3 linked regions of the Cricetulus griseus genome follow. The protein of the gene in region 2 interacts with the protein of the main gene of each other region in a biochemical or structural test. Links are inferred from orthologs where the notes say so. Each region holds a gene or a part of one and is shown on either strand. Other genes may lie near its edges.

Evidence for each region.
Region 1: the proteins of Grip1 (region 2) and Pparg form a complex in vitro, tested with the Homo sapiens proteins (2 studies listed by BioGRID). The link is inferred for Cricetulus griseus from reciprocal best matches to the Homo sapiens genes GRIP1 and PPARG.
Region 3: the proteins of Grip1 (region 2) and Thra form a complex in vitro, tested with the Homo sapiens proteins (2 studies listed by BioGRID). The link is inferred for Cricetulus griseus from reciprocal best matches to the Homo sapiens genes GRIP1 and THRA.

The regions. Positions count from the first base shown.
Region 1 is NC_048601.1:29,374,730-29,378,380, reverse strand, and holds part of Pparg (peroxisome proliferator-activated receptor gamma), read left to right. Parts: intron 1-1,851; coding exon 1,852-2,051; intron 2,052-3,651. UniProt on the Homo sapiens protein: Nuclear receptor that binds peroxisome proliferators such as hypolipidemic drugs and fatty acids.
Region 2 is NW_023276806.1:137,039,104-137,042,854, forward strand, and holds the start of Grip1 (glutamate receptor-interacting protein 1), read right to left. Parts: upstream 2,615-3,751; coding exon 2,482-2,614; intron 1-2,481. UniProt on the Homo sapiens protein: May play a role as a localized scaffold for the assembly of a multiprotein signaling complex and as mediator of the trafficking of its binding partners at specific subcellular location in neurons.
Region 3 is NC_048600.1:111,824,890-111,828,640, forward strand, and holds the start of Thra (thyroid hormone receptor alpha), read left to right. Parts: upstream 1-1,465; 5' UTR 1,466-1,631; intron 1,632-3,751.

The sequences.
Region 1 (3,651 bases), on a different chromosome or scaffold from region 2:
GCTAAGTGCTGAGTATAATAAACAAGAGTTTAATGAACAAGACTCCTGTCTTCATGAAGACTACAGACTGGAGGAAAAGAGAAAACATTATTATTAACTACTATGGCCAGAGTTATGAAAAAGAGGAGAGTAGTGTCAAGGTCATAGACAGAGGGAGCCCAGTGGATCTGGGGACCAGGTGGGAAGGCCCCTCAGTAAGCTGACATTTCTTATCCCAGTGCAGCTAAAATGGAAGAGAATAATGGGAGGCTGCAATTTTGACTGAAAAAAAAGGGGGGGCAATTGTTTAAAGATTTCTTTTTGAAGGGGTCATGTACAAAGGTTATATTTATCAAAAGTATCTAAACATATTCTGATTTAATGTAAACTAGAGGCAAGCATCTCTATTGAGTATAATTGTTTTATTAGTGATAAAGTATAGGGCCAACTGAGATGAGTTTACACATATGAGACTCAGAGATACAAATCAATCTTTTATCTAAAACAAAATTGAGCTGGATATGGTAGTAACCAAGGATGCTAGTTCAAGGATTTTCAAGTTCTGGGCCACACTGTGCTATGCAGCAAGACCTAGTCTCAAGAATATAATATAAAAATAACAAGAGTTGAGCTGTAGCTCAGTAGTAGAACATGTGTTCACCATGCACAAGGCCCAAGAAGGTCTGAAAAGAATGTCAGATCCCCTAGAATTTGAGTTATAAATGGTTGTGAGCCACCAAATGCATGCTGAGAATCAAACCAGGGCCTCTACAAGAGTAACACATGCTCTTCACCACTAAGCCAACTCTCTAGCACCCCCATTTTAAATTTATTTTTTAAAAATATTTTTAAAACAACAATGAAGAATGACCACAAAGAAAAGCATTATTCAAAGTGACATTTTTACAAATGATATCAGAAGGAAGGCAGGAAAATTTATTCAAGTTGAAAACCTATAAACAGATTATTATTAATTTTATTTTCTGAGAATGAGATGTAGGTCTAACACATGCCAGGCAAGTTCTGTCCCCAGACAACAATTCACAAAGATTAATTCCCACCTTAGGCTCTGTGGTCTCTCTTTAATCTTTCTTTTGCATTCACACTTCCTCACCCCTTGAGAAGCCCAGGATAAAGGTGTCTTTCTGATGAACCTCAATAAGGGGTAATTCTACAGAGTTAGCGATAAGTCCAACTCCATCCATTCAATGTCCAAGTTCTCTGATCTACTAGATGGAATAAAGCACCATCCTTTCTTCACATCAGGGACAAGCAGATCACACAAACTGCCTGAGAACAGAGCCTGTGCTTGTACAACTGGGACTTCGTAGCTCCTTACTTAATTCATGAAACATGTAGATCCTCCTACCTGACCTTTTGTGAAGTGCAGAAGTTACCAAGATAAATAAGACAGTGTCCCTGCTTCAGGACATTGTAGTACAGAGGGACAAGAGTCAAATAAAGTCATAATTAAAGTGCAGTGTGAACACTTGGATCATTGGATGGAGTACTGGGAAAAGATAATTAGCTGTACTTGAAAGCCTGGCTCTTAAAGGATGGATAGGAATTATCTCTCAATTACTTCATGTTTGAATGAATGTGTATTCCTATTTGCTAAACAGATTCTTCCAATTTCCTAACAGGATCATATGTTGCCTTTTGAAATTGAAGAAGTAAATAATTCAATTTTCAGTTTTCTGTGCTACTGTTGTGAAATAAAAACATGAGCAAAGTGGTGGATAGAAAGCAGAACCAGCACGGGGTGGAGAGAGGAGGGGCTCCTACACTGTGGGAACCAAGGCTGGGGAGAGCACAATGCAGAGCCATAGTAATGATCCAATGATTCATCCTGTCATTCCTCTTCCTCTGTAGCCATCAGGTTTGGGCGGATGCCACAGGCCGAGAAGGAGAAGCTGTTGGCGGAGATCTCCAGTGATATCGACCAGCTGAACCCAGAGTCTGCTGATCTCCGGGCCCTGGCGAAGCATTTGTATGACTCATACATAAAGTCCTTCCCGCTGACCAAAGCCAAGGCGAGGGCGATCTTGACAGGAAAGACAACAGACAAATCAGTTAGTTCTCTTCTGCTCTCTTCATGGGGGTGGCTGGAGCCAGGGGTACTTTCTTGGACTAAATGATCTGCCTCAGAATGCATGTGTATGCAGAATATAGCTCAGCTGTGAACTGTTAAAATCTTGTGGCAGGCTGGGTCCAAAACACAGGAAATGTATTCAAATAGGATAAGTAAACATTGTTCTGAAAAAAAGAGCAACTCCTCCAAGCTGTAGTTTTAAAAACACACACACAAAAAAACTTTGAGAGTAACACACGAACTCATAGGTGATCACGATGCTCATGAATGAATGTGAAGCCCTCTCATGCCCCTACCCTCTTTCCAGACCCATCTCTTTGCTCAGTGTCAAAATAACTGGTGAGGACACAGTGTCTCAGCAGCCGTGGAGGAGGCTGAGCAGGTGTAGAAGGTGTTGGATCCCACTTTTACCTTTCAAGGGTTCCGGAGTCATTCTTCCCAAGTTGAAAGTTGGCACAGAAGTCCACCCAGGGTATCATGAAACCTGTGTTCTTACAGTACCAAGCTTTATTCCTGGGAAACTGGCGACTCTATCCTTTTATTATATACATGAATCCTACTTTCTAAGGATCTAAGCTGCCTAAGCTACTACAATGGAATATTTTATTATTTTATTTTATTATTATGGGGGTTTGTGCTAAATATTGATTAAACTCAAAGCCTCAAGCATGCACGTACACCTGTGCTAGAGCTGAGATACATGCCCAAGCCTCAAAAGGATCCTTAAGCGACATTGTTTAGAAAATTCATAATAGTTGAAAATCATTGTGGAGTCCAGTTTTGTAGGAAGCAGAAAGCTTCCAACATGAAGCTGAGAATCAACACCAAATTGCATTAAAATGAAAAAATACATGCTGCTTCCCATTCCACTGTCAGCTGGGAGCATGACTGGGTCGAGTCTCTGTCCCTCAGTTTTTACAGACAGGGTCTGGCTTTGATGATGTGGTCTACAGAATGTCTGTAGGCAGTAAGAGCTGCAGATCCCATGCAGAAGACCTGGATCCAGCTCTTGAGAACCTTAGTGAACATGCCCAGGACATCGAGGCAACTAATAGGTAGATTCATGTAACTTGATACACATTTGGATTTTAGAAAAAAAATCATATTTTGTTGACTCTCTCAGGTGATCTCTTTCTCTTTAATTAAATGACTTAGAGCATAGTCATCTAATGGCTGTGAGAAAGAGCCACATGCCACTAAGAACAGTTGAGTTTCAGATACACAAGGGCCCAGATCCTGCAATTCCCAAGTATTTTATACATTCTTTACATTCCAGCCACGGGGCCATCTGAAGGCTGCTATTGTTTACTACCATCTTCATTTAAGGAGAAGGAACTGAAGTGGAGAGGCATGTGCACATAGACATCGGAAGGCTATGATGTAAGCTTTCTGACGTCTAGTTGGGAGCATTCTCGGCATGCTATTCCCAGGACCACACATAGTACAGTGCAGTCTGTCCACTAAGCACAAAAGGCAGCCATAGCAAGTGAAACATGAGTGAAGACCTGTACACAGCTAATCTGACTACAGAAAATAAGCTTACTTCATTCCCATGTTGAAAGTAAAGGAAGACTGCAGCC
Region 2 (3,751 bases):
ACCCAGAAAGGAAGAAACATTACTTCGAATAAAACCAAGTAATTGGAACTCCTTAAAACTATGTAAGAGAGGAAAAGAATTGGGGGGAGGGCATATTTTCTGGAAAGCCCTTATTAGCTCTATCTTTCATTATCATATGATCATTTTCTTACAATATGAACTGATAGAAAATCTTCATGGCAGAGTTAAGTTTCACAAAAGGAAATAAAAACACTAGAGACCAAGACTGATGTTTAAAAAAAAATCAATGGCATCATTAAATAAGACATGACTATCATCAATAAATTCTACGATGCTCTCAGCCTTAACATAAATGGAGTTTCTCCCCATGTGATGCGATACATGGGGTATAGATTCCAAGTTATACCAAAGACTAATTAAACAGATACACAGCAGATGTAATTGAATTCAGCCGTACTACCCATTTGAGAAGATTGGCTTTAAGAGTCAGGTTTGCCTGGTACGATTTTCTATAGCAGTTAAATACAAGTGGAATCTCCTCTGTCCAATTCAGGGAGGCCCTGAAACTGGAACCAAAGATGCCCCAGGAGGTCACTGTGCTATGTCACATGCCTTCTGCAAAAGCTTGCGCTATTTAATATTTAATGAAATGCCAAACCCCAGATGTCAGTTCACTGTGACACATTATATTTAAAATGTAGCATTTTGAAGTTCAGGACCCACCAGCCAGCTAAGTCTACAAGTTTTCAACTGAATCGTATAAAGAAAGGGTGCTTCTGAAAAAAAAAAAAATCACTGGATGTAATTTTGATGTGGAAAGGCAAACACTCAGGCTGGTTAGTGTCGTAGCCTTAGAACGTCCTTGGTGACTCTGATAAGGCAGGGTTTCTGAGTTTTTCTCTGAACTTAATGGTAATAACTATTACACCTTCATTATACCATCTTCTTAGTCTATTCTTGGAAAGCACTTTGCCCTGCTGACATATCTTTTTTTTTTCATCGGCAAATTTATTTAAATTAAAAAAAAAACTCAGCAAAACAAGTAGAATGTAGGCATTTGAGAGATTTTGTTTGAGTCAATTTGAACACACATTCATCACAACAGAAATCACAGAGGGTGTGAATTAGACTCGGTGTGTATTGATTGCAAGAAAGTGTTCAAGGAATAGCAGTCCAAGCAATGCTCTTTAAACTCCCCCACCCCAGTCTCTACATTTCAGAATTACTCCTCATGCAAGCTGGCAGTATTTTTTTTAAATGTGCGCCACAAATGTTAGTTCAATTTGAGAATACATCAAGGAAGCTAAATTTAGGAAACATAGACTGTCACTACATTAGAATAGATTATTCAGGAAAAAAGAATTATAACTTGGAAATATCTCTGAAACTCAGAGAACACTCTGTAAAAACATTATAGCAATACCGTTCAGGCAAACACCAAAGAAATATAATTGGCATTATTGTGTTATTGTCACCACATGAGTTTTCAACTCTCAGCTTTCATCAATCACAGCAGGGTTTTTGTCATGTAGAAATAATTCCCATGGCTTTCAGTGCCAAAGAAATTTGGATCTAAATTATTTATTAGCCAATGCTCAAAAGGTATAAATGGAATACATTCATAGCTAGACTTCAAAAGGCCAGAAGGAAAAAAGAAACTGTGCTTCAGGTACAAGTTCATAAAGATTCTTGCTCAAGAAGATAAGAAATAATTTTTAATTTTTAAAATGTAGATCACACATAGCTTTCATCTCCCTCCCCTTCATTTGGGCACATAAGCTCAGTGCTCTTGGCAGGGAGATGTTTTCTCTCCTCGCCCTGAGGCAGTTCCTGGATTTTAAATCTATTGGGTCCTGTCTAAGCCTCACCAGGAACCCTGAGCACTGACAGGTACAAGAAACATTTTAGTTCTCTGCTATTTTAAAGTCAATTTACAAATGTCGCCATGTGGGTATTTTTTTTTAATTCTACAGGTATTGCTGCTGCTAGCTGACAGTAAATGAGACCCCTAACTTAATAACAAAATTATGAACATACATCAACTTCCTCCTACAAACAGCATGTTTCATCACAGGTAACTGTCCAGAAGTCGGAACTGTAGCATTAATCATGAACATCCACTCCAACATAAACAACTACTTTCAAACAAGCCAACCTTTTCTTTCTTGAAAGGATTAAAATATACAGGCACACACAAAAAATTATTGAAAAAAACAATGACAACAACAGAACATATTCTAACCACCTACGAGATAGAACGGCTCCTTCAAATAACAGAATCAATCAATTACATCTACAATATTAACCTCTGTATAGACCCGGGCTGGTAATACTGAGCAGATCGGACGTGGTGGCTATACTCACAACAAACCAAGTACAATGGAGCTAGCACTTCACACAACACCATCTGGTAAATCTTTTGCATCCAAGAGTAAAGAAGCATGCAAGGTTTACTGTCAGCCCCGGCAAGTGAGAAGGACCAGGAGGATGGAGGGGAGGAGGGTGTAGGAGAGCGCTTACTTCGAAAATGCTCAGAAGCATAGTAATACACATCCTCATAGCCCTCCTGGTAATCCTCTTCCGGGCGGTACTTTTTCCCCTTTCTTCTTCTAGACCTCCGAATCTGCTTGACGAATCCCAGGAAGCGGTCCATGACTGGCTCCCGGGGCAGAGCTGCGCAGCCAGCAGCAGAGCGGACAGCCCAGCTGCTCTGCAAGTCGGTGGAGCATGAATGACCCTCAGGAAGCCCTGCTACTGGGACACATTACCCTCCAGCCTTGCTCCCTGTGTCCATCAAAGCCAAGAGTTCAGCCGCAGCAGGGGAAAACATAACAGCGATAAGGGAGTACCTTGGTGAGACTTCTCATTTAGCCCAAGAAACTGTCAGATCTGCTATATTTTTTTTTAAAGGATGGGTGGGGCAGAGAAAGAAAGTGAGATAACAAAAGTAAGATAATACCAATTAAAAACAAACAGCGGAGCTGCGGGCTTCAACTTGCTTCCATACCAAACAAAAGTTCAAGATATTTCATTCAGCTGAAGCAAGAGGCGTCCGGGCACTAAAATGTCACTACCCAACACCTCCATCACCAGGGCGGGTGGGGAAGCTCGCTAGTCACTGGACTGAACCAAAGCTAGGGACAACCGGCTTTCCCCACCAGCAACCTACCCACTTCGATTAACATTCCTTTGCTCAGAGCACAGCTGGCACTTGGGAAACTTCCTAGAAAGCTACAGTTTGGGCAAAGAGAAGGCTGGTTAACTCTTTGGGCTCTTGGTAAGCCACACTAGTGATCTGCGAAGTGGTTTCATCCATATGTACAGCCCTCTTGCTGACTGAGTGTGCTGTATGTGTTAATTGGAGCAGCAGGGAGAAGCCTAGCAGCTGCTTTCAAAGGACACATTTACCCCACTGGGCATTAATGTATTCCAATCGCTGTTTGATCTAAATATTAAAATGTGCTTCTCAGAGCTTCTCACCAGCTTAGTAACAGTGCCCGCCCCACAATCAGCAAATAAAGGAAGCTGCATGGTTTTCAGAAAAGGGGAACACAAATGATTCAACTTTGAGTGCATGCAACTCAAGTATGACACAGGCTGAGCTGTCACACAGCTTAACAATAAAACAAGTGAGTGCAAAAGGGCAAGTGAACCTGAATTCTTAAAGGGAGAAATGTTCTTAAGTGTGTCTATGCCTTGTTTACACTTATCTTTAAAAATCACAAACAACTTTATAAAAACAACAACAAAACCCAAAAAACCTATCAAAAATACTTGAGGCTAAAGGGCA
Region 3 (3,751 bases), on a different chromosome or scaffold from region 2:
AGCCCCAAGAGAGGCATCCTTCCTTCCCCACAAGCATTGCAAACCCTTAAAATCCCTTGTAAGAGAAGTGGCTCCGTGGTTCAGGGTGTAGGTGGCTGAGACTAAGATGAGCAAGGGCAGCCCAACTTGGATAGACTGTTGGTCAGCATCCCACTCAGCAAACGATTCTATCCAGTATAAACTGAACGGTTAGAAGAGCAGCTCCCCTGACACACTCACTGGCTCCTCCCCAAGAGCAAGCTGGGGAGGCAGGGCTCCGCCCTGGCAGCCGTGGGAAGGCTATGGCCCCCGCTGGTAAAACTGGGCTAATGACAGCGGGGGAACCGGCGGGGCCAGAGGGGGGTGCTAGGGTAATTAGACCTCTGCCTGGCGGTAGTAGATCCCGAGATGAAAGGGGCTATGGCGTCACTGACAGGGTTTTATGTCCATGAATGCAAAGGGGTGTGCGTGTGTGCGCGCGCGCGCGCGCGCGCGCGTGTGTGTGTGTGTGTGTGTGTGTGTGTGTGTGTGTGTGTTTGGTGCACGTGCGTGCGCGTGCGCGCGCAGGGGTCCGGAACTAGCATGGAGACCTCTCCTTTGAGAAAATGAGTCCATCTATTTGCAGCCACTCTGCTCCTTAGGTTGGCCCTGGAACCATTTGGATTTTGATGGTGCAAACATGAGAGGAGATCGTACCTCAGTGAAACTGGGAGCCGAGGGACAGTAGAGAGTCTTGCCCACCCCCCTCCCCAAGCTTAGCACGGGCTGTATATTGTTGGGGAATGGCTGGTGGGCACTGAATAGAAAGAGCCTCTATGGAGAAAAGAAACGTTTGCAGGAGGAGGCAGTGGATCCAGCATTAATGTTAGAAATGAGAAAGGAGGCATGAAAATGAAAAATGAGACTCCAAAACGGTTAGAAAATAAAATGGTTGAAGTTAGGAGGATTTCAGAAGTTACCTGCCCAACACTTGGATTTTAAGCTCTAACTAACCCTGGCAGCTGTAATTTGTTCAAGGTCACACAGAGAGTTGCTTGGAGAGAAGGGACCCGAACTATGAAACAAACCTATCGTTTGGTATCTGGGCTTTCTCCCGGATTTATAAGGTGCAGAGAACTCCCCGAAACTTCCCCTCTACCTCAGGGTGCAAACCAGAAAACCCCCAATTCTCCCAGCGAGTAAAAAGCTATTAAAAAAAAATGACATCTTGCTCAAAATGTGTCACAGAGCCTCCTCGCTCCTCGACGGAGCCTCAGGGGTGAAGTGGGCGAGTCCGAGCCTAGTAGAGGCCAAGGCGAACGAGGGGCTGCGGGGCGACCAGCCGGGGTCCCGGGGCGCGGCGCGGGCCGAGGGGCGGGGGCCGACGGCTGCGAGGCGGCCTGCAGGGAGCAGCCGCGAGCCGGCCGGGCGCGCGGAGCCGGAGCCCCAGCCGGAGCGGGGCGGGGGAGGGAGGAGCCTGAGCGGCCGCCGCCTCTGCCGGAGGAGCGCCGGGGCCGCCACACTCGCCCCCCGCCCCCCGCGCTCACTCGCACTCACACCCCGGCGCTGGAGGCGGGCGGCCCGGGCCCAACCGGCCCCCCATGGACGCCCCCAGCACGGGGCGCTGAGACCCCCGCGTCGTTGCCCAACTCGGTTCAGCGCGCCAAGCCAAGGTAAGGAGGAGGGAGCGAGGGGGCATTAATATGCAAATGCATCGCGATTGATTATGCAAAGCCGCGGGTCTCTGGCCAGCTCGGAGGCGGGCTGGGGGCGGCCAGGGGGTTCCCGTCGCCGACCTGTGCCTTTCCGGGCGCCCGGGTGACCCTGTCACAGCCCGAGAGCGAGCCACTGACGCCCTGGGAAAGGGAGGTGCTGTTAAGTGGTCGGTGGGCCCCGGGGTTCGCTCGCGGAGATGGCGTCTGGGCCTCCCCTTCGAGGGCCCGCCCGGCCTCTGTCCGGCCGGTCTGCTGCGCATTCCCGGGTTGGGCCCCGCTGCCTGCCGAGGCTCCCCCGCCCGCCGCGCCGCGGTTTGTTTACGGTGTGCCAGAAGCCTGTCGTGCCCCCCCAACCCTCCCCCCTCCGCCAAAGAGGGCGAATGGCCTTTGCAAAGCCGCCTCCAGCTACGGAGGGCAATGTGGGTGCGGCAGGGTGGGGGGGGGCCTTGCATGGGCTGGGGGAGAGTGAAGTCCCCCTCCCCTCCCTGCTTTCCCAGTTGAGCATGGCTTTCTGGTTGCAACACTCCTAATTGCAAAAACGCGGCGGGTGGGGTGGGGGGAATGTGAGCCTGTAGTAGTGGGGGTGTACTAGTGGATGGTCCCTGGATGATTAGGAGAATTGCTGGCCTGTGGTGGGGAAGAGAGGAAGCAATGGACCCGTGTTTGTGTGAGTGTGTGTGTGAGTGTGTGTGTGTGTGTGTGTGCTCCCCTGTTTCCCTCCCTTTGCAACGTGTCTCCGGTGGCCCTTTTCTGTCTAGGGCCCTCCCTTGTCCAGTGTGAAAGGAAGGCCTGGGAAGATGTCAAAGGCAATGGAGAGAGCCACCCATTTCGGGGACCAGGGGTGGGGGGGTACACAGAAGGAAAGCCGGGGAGATGGGAGCCTGCCCCTGAATGCTGGCTCTGGACCCAGGAGGGGGAGGGGATGAAGGGGGCCATTGTCCAAGATGAAGGGGGAGGCAAAGGTGACATGCAGACACAGATATGCCCACACAGACAGCCACACGAACACTCAGGGACACCCAGGCAGATTCAAGGACAGGAGCTGCTGGACACACCCACATGGGGACAAGGGAAGAGGCAGACTGCTGCTGCATGGTGGAGCTCAAAGGGGTTGGACACACCCACGGGAGACCAAGAGCAGAGAGACAGCCTGTGCACATACCCACGCACAGGGTCACAGGGAGATGCTGTCACACACAGGGGCAAGGAAGAGTCGCTGTCACTATCACATGCATGCATGCATGCATGCACACACAGCAGTTGCACACAGCCGCACAATTACAAAAGACCCTGTCACTCACAAGCACACACGAGCTCACATGTGCCCAGTCATGCAGTCATCATTGCTTGCCATGACAGTCACTGCCACTCAGTCAAACAAAAAACACAGCTACACATCAACACATGTGTACTCAACTTAGCAACAAGTATTTTCCTGGGTTCATCTGTGGAGCTGAGGTTCTATGGACAACAAAACCTTTGCTACCGAGAAAATCAAATTCATCTGTATAAAAAGACTTTTCTGCATATTGGTGCACAGGATGCATTCCTGATAATATAGTCTGTTACTGTTGGTTGTCATACCACCCAGTTACTAGATGGCAATCTCCTTGAGACATGGGAGAACCTCTAGAAGAACCCTGGATCCCACCCAGAGCCTAGCACAGTGTGTGCTCTGTAAACACTTGTTAATTGATTGACTGTAGGAACTCCAGGCACAGGTGCACTCCTTTACACCTAGTCTCACAGGTGCAGGGGCCATGCACAGGGCTCCCGAGTGCAGTCACAGGTCCCACCTGGCAGTGTCCAGATAACCCTTGCAGATAGACACATTGTAGCTAGGGCAGGAACGCACTTAAATGCACACAGCCACAGACTATTCCCTCTGGCTTCTTTCTATCTTCTAGGCTCAGCCACTGTGTAGCAATGGGCTCTCCCCCCCCCCTTTTAGAGGGACAGAGAAACAAGAGCAAAGTGGGTACAAAGGGGGTTCCAGAGGGCCGAGTCATGGGCCTGCAGCAATGTCCAGTGACTTCTAGCAGCTGGGATTGTCCTGGTTGCTGGGGGAGGGGTGTCTG